2 linked regions of the Cricetulus griseus genome follow. The protein of the gene in region 1 purifies or fractionates together with the protein of each later gene. This does not show direct contact. Links are inferred from orthologs where the notes say so. Each region holds a gene or a part of one and is shown on either strand. Other genes may lie near its edges.

The links. The genes of interacting proteins can lie anywhere in the genome.
Region 2: the proteins of Tcof1 (region 1) and beta-arrestin-2 purify together in Homo sapiens (affinity purification with western blotting; 4 studies listed by BioGRID and IntAct, with this or other methods). This does not show direct contact. The link is inferred for Cricetulus griseus from reciprocal best matches to the Homo sapiens genes TCOF1 and ARRB2.

What each region holds. Positions count from the first base shown.
Region 1 is NC_048595.1:178,280,070-178,285,266, forward strand, and holds the end of Tcof1 (treacle protein), read left to right. Parts: intron 1-866; coding exon of another isoform or gene 867-898; exon of another isoform or gene 899-905; coding exon 906-1,387; coding exon of another isoform or gene 1,388-1,388; exon of another isoform or gene 1,389-1,392; intron 1,393-2,804; coding exon 2,805-2,896; intron 2,897-3,282; coding exon 3,283-3,328; intron 3,329-3,523; coding exon 3,524-3,559; 3' UTR 3,560-3,960; downstream 3,961-5,197.
Region 2 is NC_048600.1:84,233,786-84,237,989, forward strand, and holds part of beta-arrestin-2, read left to right. Parts: intron 1-1,028; coding exon 1,029-1,059; intron 1,060-1,671; coding exon 1,672-1,732; intron 1,733-1,844; coding exon 1,845-1,889; intron 1,890-2,092; coding exon 2,093-2,289; intron 2,290-2,400; coding exon 2,401-2,460; intron 2,461-2,831; coding exon 2,832-2,899; intron 2,900-3,036; coding exon 3,037-3,175; intron 3,176-3,409; coding exon 3,410-3,494; intron 3,495-3,788; coding exon 3,789-3,861; intron 3,862-4,118; coding exon 4,119-4,204. UniProt on the Homo sapiens protein: Functions in regulating agonist-mediated G-protein coupled receptor (GPCR) signaling by mediating both receptor desensitization and resensitization processes.

The sequences.
Region 1 (5,197 bases):
ACCTACCCGAGTGACTTGGGAGACTAGAATCGGTGAGGGGACCAAAAGCTCTGGGCTCTATCTGCTATCTGGGCTCTCCTGCACTGGGTCAGAGGCGGAGTTGTTGCTCACTTTCTTCCCAGTGTTCTTGTCTATGTGAGAGGCGGGTGCAACAGGGAGACATTTTCGAGGGGGCTGTGGAAGGTTTTTTTTTTACACGTGTAGTCAGCACACAATTATCAAAGGCAAGCAGAGGCGTGGAAAATTCTAAACAAAGGCTGCACCAGAAGTCACTCTGGCAGGCAGTAAACCTGCTTAGTCAGCCACCACATGCATACACAGCATACCCAGAGTTCCCCCTATCTGCCTCTGGCCCCAGCCTTGATGGGCCAAGGAGCCAGTGAATGTCCACAGACAAGAGCTGAACAGTAGTCTGTAATACCTTCTCCTGTTTTATAAATCTATAATTCATGGCAAAGGACACCATTGTATTTCTAGCTTCTTGTTTTACAATGGAAAACAGGCCTCAAGGAACTGTGATCTGGCCAAAGCCTTACAGTAGATTGATAAAGGCAGATGTAGATCCTGAGTCACTTGTGTCCCATCTGAGTCACTTGTGTCCCATCCCTTGGTCTTTTTGGCAGACTTCAGGCCCACCCTCTCATTAACGTTCTGGGGTCACTGTCCATCTCCAGCTATAAATGGGTGTAGTTTTTGATGTGAGGACATAGAGTGGTGCTGGAAGCTAGGGTGAGATTCCTGTGTAAGGCATGAGCATGGGGGATGATGAGGAATAGTGACCCCCAGGGCCTCAGTTTCCCATCTGTACAGTTGTAAGGAGGTGCACCCCGTCAGTTCTCATATATTGTGTAAGATCTGTCCCTCAGCTTTCCAGACCTGTGACCTCCGAGACCTGTGATCCACAGGTAGGAAAGAGACCTCTTCAGACACCACACCTCCGAAGCCCAAGAAGGCTAAGAAAAGCACCTGGACCTCAGCAACACCCACACAGGCTCTGCAGAACAGCATCACCCAGTGCCTCCGGGAACAGTCCTGGTCCCTGAGCGAGGCGCAGGTGCAGGCCTCTGTGGTGAAGGTTCTGGCAGAACTGCTGGAGCAGGAAAGGCAGAAGGCCACAGAGGCCATCAAGGAGAGTGGGAAGAAGGGCAAGAAGCGGAAGCTGTCGGGGGACCAGCTAGCAGCAGGGGCCCCAGAGAGCAAGAAGAAGGCCTCTGGGACTTCCAAGACAAAATCAAAGCTAGACGAAGTAAATGCTGATGGCAAGGGGAAGGGATCATCTGGCTCCCAAGGGGCCAAGGCGAAGCCCGAAAGTGAGCTGGGGTTAAAAGTTGAGAGTGGACAGCAGAATGACACAAAGAACAAGAAGGAAAAGAAGAAATCCAGTAAAAGTAAGTGACTACTCCCCCATCATACACTGCGGATGCAGGGCTGGGTGGCAGGCCTCTTTATCTCAATCTTTCCACAAAGAACAAGAGCCTGGGAAGTGATTTGTCTAGAGCAACAGGCATCTGGTGGCAAAGCCAAAAGTAGATTGCGGGGCACTTGGGCTGCATCCCCTCCTCCCCATAGCCCAGGAGACCCTCGCAGTGCCCAGCATTTACACCCACGGTCAGCTTTTAGAAAGCATAAGCTCAACTCCAGCTTCACAAGGATGGAAAACAGGGAGCACTCCACTCCAACCTACCTCACACCAGAGGTCCACTGTGGGTTCCTGAGGTATGGAATGTGCATGCATCCTTATCTGGAACCCATCTTTTCCTCTGGAATTCAGCTCCTCCTCAGTGAAAGCAGCATTTACTGTTCTCCATGCTGGAACCTGCACCCAGGTGCCTTTGGAGTTGCCCTGCCAGCCCAAGGCAGTGGGGACTTTGGTTTTCATTTTCTAAATGGAAAACAGGCTCTGAGAAAGAAAGGCCACTTTTGCTGGGCAGTCCACTTTTGCTTTGTTTTGAGACAGGGTCTCACTATGTAGCCTAGCCAGCCTGAAGCTTAGTATGTAGAGCAGGCTGGCCTCGAACTCACAGAAATCCACCTTCCTCTGCCTCTTGGGTGCTGAGATTAAAAGGATGCACCACCACGCCCAGCATGGAAATTCTCTTTTGTGCATTGTCTGCCCATCTGTGGCAAGAGTCTGGGAGAAGAGGTATCTGGCCATCTGGTGTCGGGAACCCATGGGGTTAAATAAGTGTGGGGTAGGGCTTCTTTTAGACTAAGTAATCTTTTATTTAGCATTCACCAACATTTATTAATGCAAAATTCAAGTTCCGAATGATGCAGTCTTTTTTACACAGTAATTTAAACAGACTTGGCATCTGAGAAACCCATTTGGGCCAGTCCTCCAGAAGCAGACTAGAGGGATACAGAGATCAGGTGAGAACAGGAGAGGACACAGCAGCAGGAGCATGGCGGGAGCATTCTGACATTAGGGAAGGCAGCTGTTCTCATCCTGGAGCTGGGCCTCAGCCTCTGCCTGCTTCCATTGCTATCTAATGAGGGAACAGGTAAGCAGGCAGGAGGGTTGCTCTGACACCTGCAGCAGCCACACGAGCCCATCTGCACATCCAGGGACATGGGGGAGGGGTTCTTAAAGTTAGTTCCAGACTGGACATATATCTCAGTGGTAAAGAACTTGGCATGGCTAGTATTGAGGCCCTAGATTGTGTAGTCCATGGACAGGAAGAATGGAGCGAGAAGGATAACCTGGTCCCACCAGGGCTGGCTTCCCAGTGGCATAGTAGCTCGGAGCTGCTGTGGGCCTCCTGACACCGACCCACTCAGTATCAGAGCTCATTTTCTTCCCTCAGAAAAAAAAAGCAAGGACAAAAAGGGAAAGAAGAAAGGAAAGAAGACGTCAGCCAAAGACCCTGACTCACAGATCAAGAAGAAGAAGAAAAAGGTAGATTGAGTTCCTGGGAGCTCTTGGGCCAGAAATTCGAACCCTTCCCCTTCCAACACCCAGACTCAAGTTATAATGGACCTTGTGAGGAAGAGTGGGCAAGGGGTGATACAGCCAGCTCCCAGGTGAGAAGGGATTTGAGGAAATGCCTGGCCCACATGTCCTGACCAGTGGGGGTGCTCACTGAAGAGACAGCCATCCATTTCATGAGGTCAAAGGCTGTTTGGTCCAGGCGTGGTAGCACGGGAAAGCCTAGCAGTGGAAGCTACAGGGGTGTGGCTCTGAAGACACCCATGAGGTATCACCCCTGCCTTGCCCTGTGAGGTGGGGCAGCAGTGGTGAGGACCCGCTGCACTAAGAGTGGTGTTGCCCTTCTCTCCTCACAGAAGAAGACAGCAGAGCCTGCCGTGTGAGGGCCAACACATAGAACAGGTAAGAGAGGGAGCCAGAGAGACAACAACTCCCTTCCCCAGGGTCAGTGGGACTGAGGGGCACTGCTAGCAAGTACATCAGCCACATGCCACATCTTGAGCGAGGCTGGTGGCCAAGCAACATCCCTTAGCTTTGTTCTCCTTGTGGAGATAAAGTTCAGGATATGTGACCAAAGCCTGGTTTGTTTCCTTCTAGAGTCTTGTCAGAGTGTGGCTGTCCCCAGACCTCTGACCTTTGGCCAGTGTGAGTTGGGACTGGACTTTTTAACTTACCCTCCCTCAACAGAAGATGATGGCTGACTCCAGCATGTGCTGCTGGCCTAGCCAGTGAGCCTGCAAGGAGGAGGCAGTCCCAAGAGGAAGTGGGATGAAACACACCCACTCCCTCTGAGTGCTGCATAAGATGTGTACAGTATATATATATATTTTTTAAGTGACCTGCCTCTCCCCCTTCAAATCCACCATGCCCAAAGGCCTCAGGACCTTCCTCCCTCTGCTCTGTAGACCCAGCGAGGTCCCACTTAGAGTTCATCCCATTCCCTGGATCCCTGGCTTATCCCAAGGCCTTGTCCTATCAGTTTTCCAGCTGTGTTTTTTTTTTAAGAACTTAAAATAAAAGACTTTAAATGTAAAGGTTTGAGTTTCCCTGTGCATGTGGACCTGCATTGTTACTGACTAGGAAAGGTAGTGTGGGAACCCTGGAGGAGCACAGGAGCATGTCAAGGCCCTACGGTACTGTGAGGAGGACAGTTTGCTAAAGAAAGGCCTCGGCAAAGCGCCTCAGGGAGGGCTCCCTGAAGGAGGTGGCCTCTGAGTTTGAGGAGAGCTGAAGGTGGGTCAGATGCCATGGTAGAGAGTGCAGGTGACCAAAGAGCCTTTGGAAGCTTTGGAGTTGGGATGGTGTGGAGCGAGGTGGCTGCCATGGGAAGGGTGGAAGGGCCAGTAAATGAGGCCGAGAATTGCCCTCTAGCCAGGGAATAGTTCTTTGGTGGTGAAGGCAAGAAGTGAACAAAGTCCATGTGTGTGTTGGGACTGTTGCTGGGGTAGACCAAGGGAGGAGGATGGCAATGCTCCTCTGGCTTCCTCTGCATAAGCATTCAAAGGCCACCTCAGCCTGGAGTCCTGTGAAACACCAGAAGTCTAAGCATTTCACCTCAGGCTCCTGCTGGAGGTCCCTGGAGACCCTGTGCACAGAGCCTTGGGACACCACTGACGTGAACAGCCATTCCCTTCATTACAAGTGTGTTGGTCTCCATCAGACTGCAGAGGAGGGTCTCATTGGTGTGCTGACTCAGAAGTATTTAAATGTAAAACCGGAACGATGTCACTCATGTTCATTTCAGACTCCTGGGCTTATCAGGGATCTGTTTCCTTTTCCAGCAGCAATGGATTGGAGCTAAGTAGCCCTGAGTCCTGCACAGGTGGCCAGCTGGTGGCAGCCCCCATTTGCATCCATTCCTGACACTAGGCCCCTGTGTCCATTGCCATCTGTCATCACACTTTCTTAGTACAGAAATGGAATTGGGGACATGAGAAATGGAAGCTGGGACATGATGAGCTGTGCTTTTTAAACTGGGCAAGAGTCTGTGTCTTTCTGAATGTTGAACAGGTACTAAGTATCCACGGCCCACCTCCCCAGGCTCCATAGACCCTGGCTACCTAGATGACTAGGTTTAAGGTTTTCATTGACTTTCCTAGGGTAAACAAATTGGATCTCAACAGAAGAGCCAGGAGCAAGAATGTTCTACTCACTACCTTTTATTGTCACATGAGCCATGATCCTACAGGCTGCTGACAAGCTTGGCTGAGCAAGGGACCTGGGGGGTTGGCAGGAGATGAGGAAGGGTTGTTGGAAGGAGGGCCTGGGTTC
Region 2 (4,204 bases), on another chromosome or scaffold:
CCATGTGCATTCTCTCTGACCTTTGACAAAATTCTTGACCTCTCTATGCTTTGGTTTCTTCTATCTAAAACAGGAATTATTTCGACTTATGTCTTTGGGCTATTAGAGTAGTCACAATGCAATTGGAACACTGCTAGGACCAGAACAGTCACCCAATAAATGTTAGCCAGTATCCTCTTTGTCACATGGATGCTACTGTGTTGGGACACCTCAATGTACAAGATCCCAGGGGTCACAGCTGTCAGCCTTTGTGAAATCACAAGTAAAATATAAACAAGATGGGAAAGGAACAGGGAGGAGGGAGTGTTATTGTGCTGGCGGTTAAAGTCGAGGCCGAGTCTTCAATCTGACGGAGATGATGTCTGAGTTAGGCCTTGACCGACAAATGCATTTTTTTTAAGATTCTGAGGTCAGAGATGGGGATGTTGGAGGTTCATGAAATAAGCAGATGTGGGCAGTGCCTTCAGTAGAAACTGAGGGGTAAAGTCAAGGCACTGCTCCAGGTGTCCTCGAAGCTAGAGGTCATTTGAAAAGTGGCTAGTTTAACTGAGGGTGGTGGTTCACGCCTTTCATCTCACCATCAGGGATGCAGAGGCAGGTGGATCTCAGAGTTGGGGCCAACCTGGTCTACATATCAAGTTCCAGGCCAGCCAGGGTTACATAGTTAAATCCCGGTCTCAAAAGAAAAGTGTGTTAGGTCTGACCCAGACATTGGATAGCCATCTAGTTCCCATCTTCTTCTGGGGACGGTGCCCTCGGGAGAGTCTAGATGGTTCCTGGAGCAACCAGTGGCCATTACTGTAGAGGTGGATCAAATCAAAGGAGCAAGTGTTTGCCCTGACAGTTGGCTTCAAGGGGCTGCCATGTGGAAAATACTGGGACTTTGTTAAAAAAAAAAAAAAGTGGGAAGGGTAGACCAGGGATCCAGGGTGAATTCCACTTCTTGGGCTAGGGAGGGATAAGTCCTGGTGTGGTGGTCCCTGCTGAGTCTAAGGGAGGCAGTGGGGTCTCCCTTTCTGTTTTGTTAGGGTCTTCAAGAAGTCGAGCCCTAACTGCAAGGTGAGTCACCCACAGTGCTTATGCTTCGATCCTTCCTGGGCCCTATCAAAGCCCAACCTACCCCCAGCTGATCCCCAACCCTTAGCTCCCCACTTCCTGTGACAGCTAAAAGCAGACTTCCTTCCCTCCTTAAGCCCCTTGCCACAGTCTGAAGAAGCCACAGGGCTGGGTGGGGACCAGGCTAGGTTCCTAAGCAAGCTTGTAATTCTCTTAGGAACCAACCCAGGGTACTTGGGACTAGGAAAAGTTAATAGTTCCCCAGGCTGTGGCCTGTTTATTGCAGAGCCCTTTGTGGGGAGAGCTGCTAACTGCCTGGTCTGACTGAGTGCTCCCTGAAGACATGGGAACACACACATATACACACATACACCTCTGTCCTTGCTTGGTGGACAGCGGTATGAAAAGTGACCAGAGGAGCAGACAAAAGCCTAAATGAAAGCTTTACTGAATAGTCTGGAAAGCCCTACCACTCTCACCTTCCAATAACACTGGGAGAAACTCCTTCCTGATAACCCAGCCAAGGGGAGCCCAGGACAGGGCCGCCATCTTTGAGGGCTCTGGTGGCTTGCCACCATCCTCCCCAATTTTGCCTGTGACCCTTGACATCCTCAGCTCACCGTGTACTTGGGCAAGCGCGACTTTGTAGACCACCTGGACAAAGTGGATCCTGTGGGTGAGTTTGCCTAGAAGGGGGTAGCTCATCCCCCCAGGAGGGAGGAGGTTCCTGGTTCTGGGGATGGGGAAAGGCCGCCTTCAGAAAATGAATCCACGTCTCCCTTTCCTAGATGGCGTGGTGCTCGTGGATCCTGACTACTTGAAGGACCGCAAAGGTACTAGACCCAAGTCCAGGAGCTGGAGGGGAGGCAGGAAGAAGAAGGAATTCGATGGGTTGGCATTGGTAGGGTGTCCCAGACAGATGGAAGGCTGAGGCAGAAGCAGGGGGTAGGATTCAGGGAAGTCTGTCGTGCTGAGGAAGGATGTGGGCGACATGAAGGATGTCTCTTGATCATCCCACCTTGCCCTCGCTTTCCAGTGTTTGTTACCCTCACCTGCGCCTTCCGCTATGGCCGAGAAGACCTGGATGTACTGGGCCTGTCTTTCCGCAAAGATCTGTTCATTGCCACCTACCAAGCCTTTCCCCCCATGCCCAACCCACCCCGGCCCCCCACCCGGCTACAGGACCGACTGCTGAAGAAGTTGGGCCAGCATGCCCATCCCTTTTTTTTCACAGTGAGGATGCTCCCTTTTCTCCGAGGAGTGGGGGGGGGGGGGGCTGCAGGATTGACATGGGATGAGGCACCTGTTACCAGGGACTGAAACCCCTCCTTTTCTCTGCCACAGTTACCCCAGAATTTGCCTTGCTCTGTCACACTGCAGCCAGGACCAGAGGACACAGGGAAGGTAAGGGAGGGACAGCTATCACAGTGTGTGAACAGAACTGGGCTCAGCAGAAGCACAAAACACAACTGAACCAGAGGGTGAAGTTTAGGGGGGTCCTGAAGACAAGGAGGTGTCCCCATGGACATGGGTGTGCATGGTGTGGTCACTGCATCTGGAACATGTACCTGGGTATGGGGGTTCCTCCATGCACTGCCATGAGCCAGCCTCTGTAAGGTGCCAGACTAGGAGACAGTGGGGCAAGAGAGTCCGTGTTTCCGAGATGGGGCAAAAGTTCACACTTAAGGGGAATGAAGCAAGTAGGAAGGAAGGGGTGTGTTGGAAGTGGCAACAGGAGCCTTGGGTAAGAGGTGGCCTTTCCTCCCCCTTCCAAGGCCTGTGGAGTCGACTTTGAGATTCGTGCCTTCTGTGCCAAATCTCTAGAAGAAAAAAGCCACAAAAGGTGAGAGAAACTTTGTCTCTGGTTTAACAACTCCCTCCCAGCCTTATGGAGCCCCTGGCGCCTGTTGGGGGTAGGAATCTTAGTTGAATTGTAGTGTCTTGGAACTAACCCTTCCCCTGCTCCACCCCCTGACTCAGGAACTCGGTGCGACTTATCATCAGAAAGGTACAGTTTGCTCCAGAGATACCTGGCCCCCAGCCCTCAGCAGAAACCACACGCCACTTCCTCATGTCTGACCGGAGGTCCCTGCACCTAGAGGCTTCCCTGGACAAAGAGGTGAGGTGTAAAAGAGTGACAGAGATGCCACAAAGCAGGCCAGAGCCTGGGGGAGGGGTGAAGCGACAGGCAGGATGGTGGTTTGGGATTTTTTTTTTAAAGGTGGTTGCCTCACTTGGGTGGAGGTGCTATGGACTGGGGTTGGAGGTGGGGCAGAGCAGCCTCTATCAGAGAGGTACCCAAGTTGGAGCCACTGAAGCAAGTGCAAACTGTGTCATCCCCTCCCTTCAAAAGCTGTATTACCACGGGGAGCCACTCAATGTCAACGTCCATGTCACCAACAACTCGGCCAAGACCGTCAAGAAGATTAGAGTCTCTGGTAGGAGGTGGGGGTGGACATGGGTGTGGGGAAGGAAGTCCCTGATTACAAGGGGCTTCTGCTGCCATTTCAGCCCAGGCCATATCCCAGTGTGGGAGAACTACCAGGGCATAAAGAATTTAGTCTGTTCCCAGATGATGCCCAGCCCTAGTGTTTATTATAGGAGGGCTGTTGGCCAGGGGTAGGAGGTGGGGGTGTGCTGCCCCCAAGTGGGGTTCACACCATGTGGTCTGGAGTTGTGGTACAGTAGTAGTCTATACTTCACCCAAAGCCACTTGGTCCCCTACCCCACAGTGAGACAGTATGCCGACATTTGCCTCTTCAGCACCGCGCAGTACAAGTGTCCTGTGGCTCAGCTTGAGCAAGAGTGAGTATGGGACAACCGTGGGACCCAACTTAGGGGAGAATATGAGAATGCAGAGTTCCTTATAACCTATCTCACTTCTAAGGGTGTCCCTCTGCAGCCTGGGGGCTCCAGGCTGTTAGCAGATTGCATCAGAACCTACCCCCTCGTAATCTGCCCTGATGGACAGAGAAGGAGGAAGTACCGCCTGAGGGTGGTATGATGAATCTCCCTCAGTCCAGTCTCTCCAAGAATCTTGTTCCCTTGTTCCCAACCCCCAGTGACCAGGTATCTCCCAGTTCCACGTTCTGCAAGGTGTACACCATAACCCCACTGCTCAGTGACAACCGGGAGAAGCGTGGCCTTG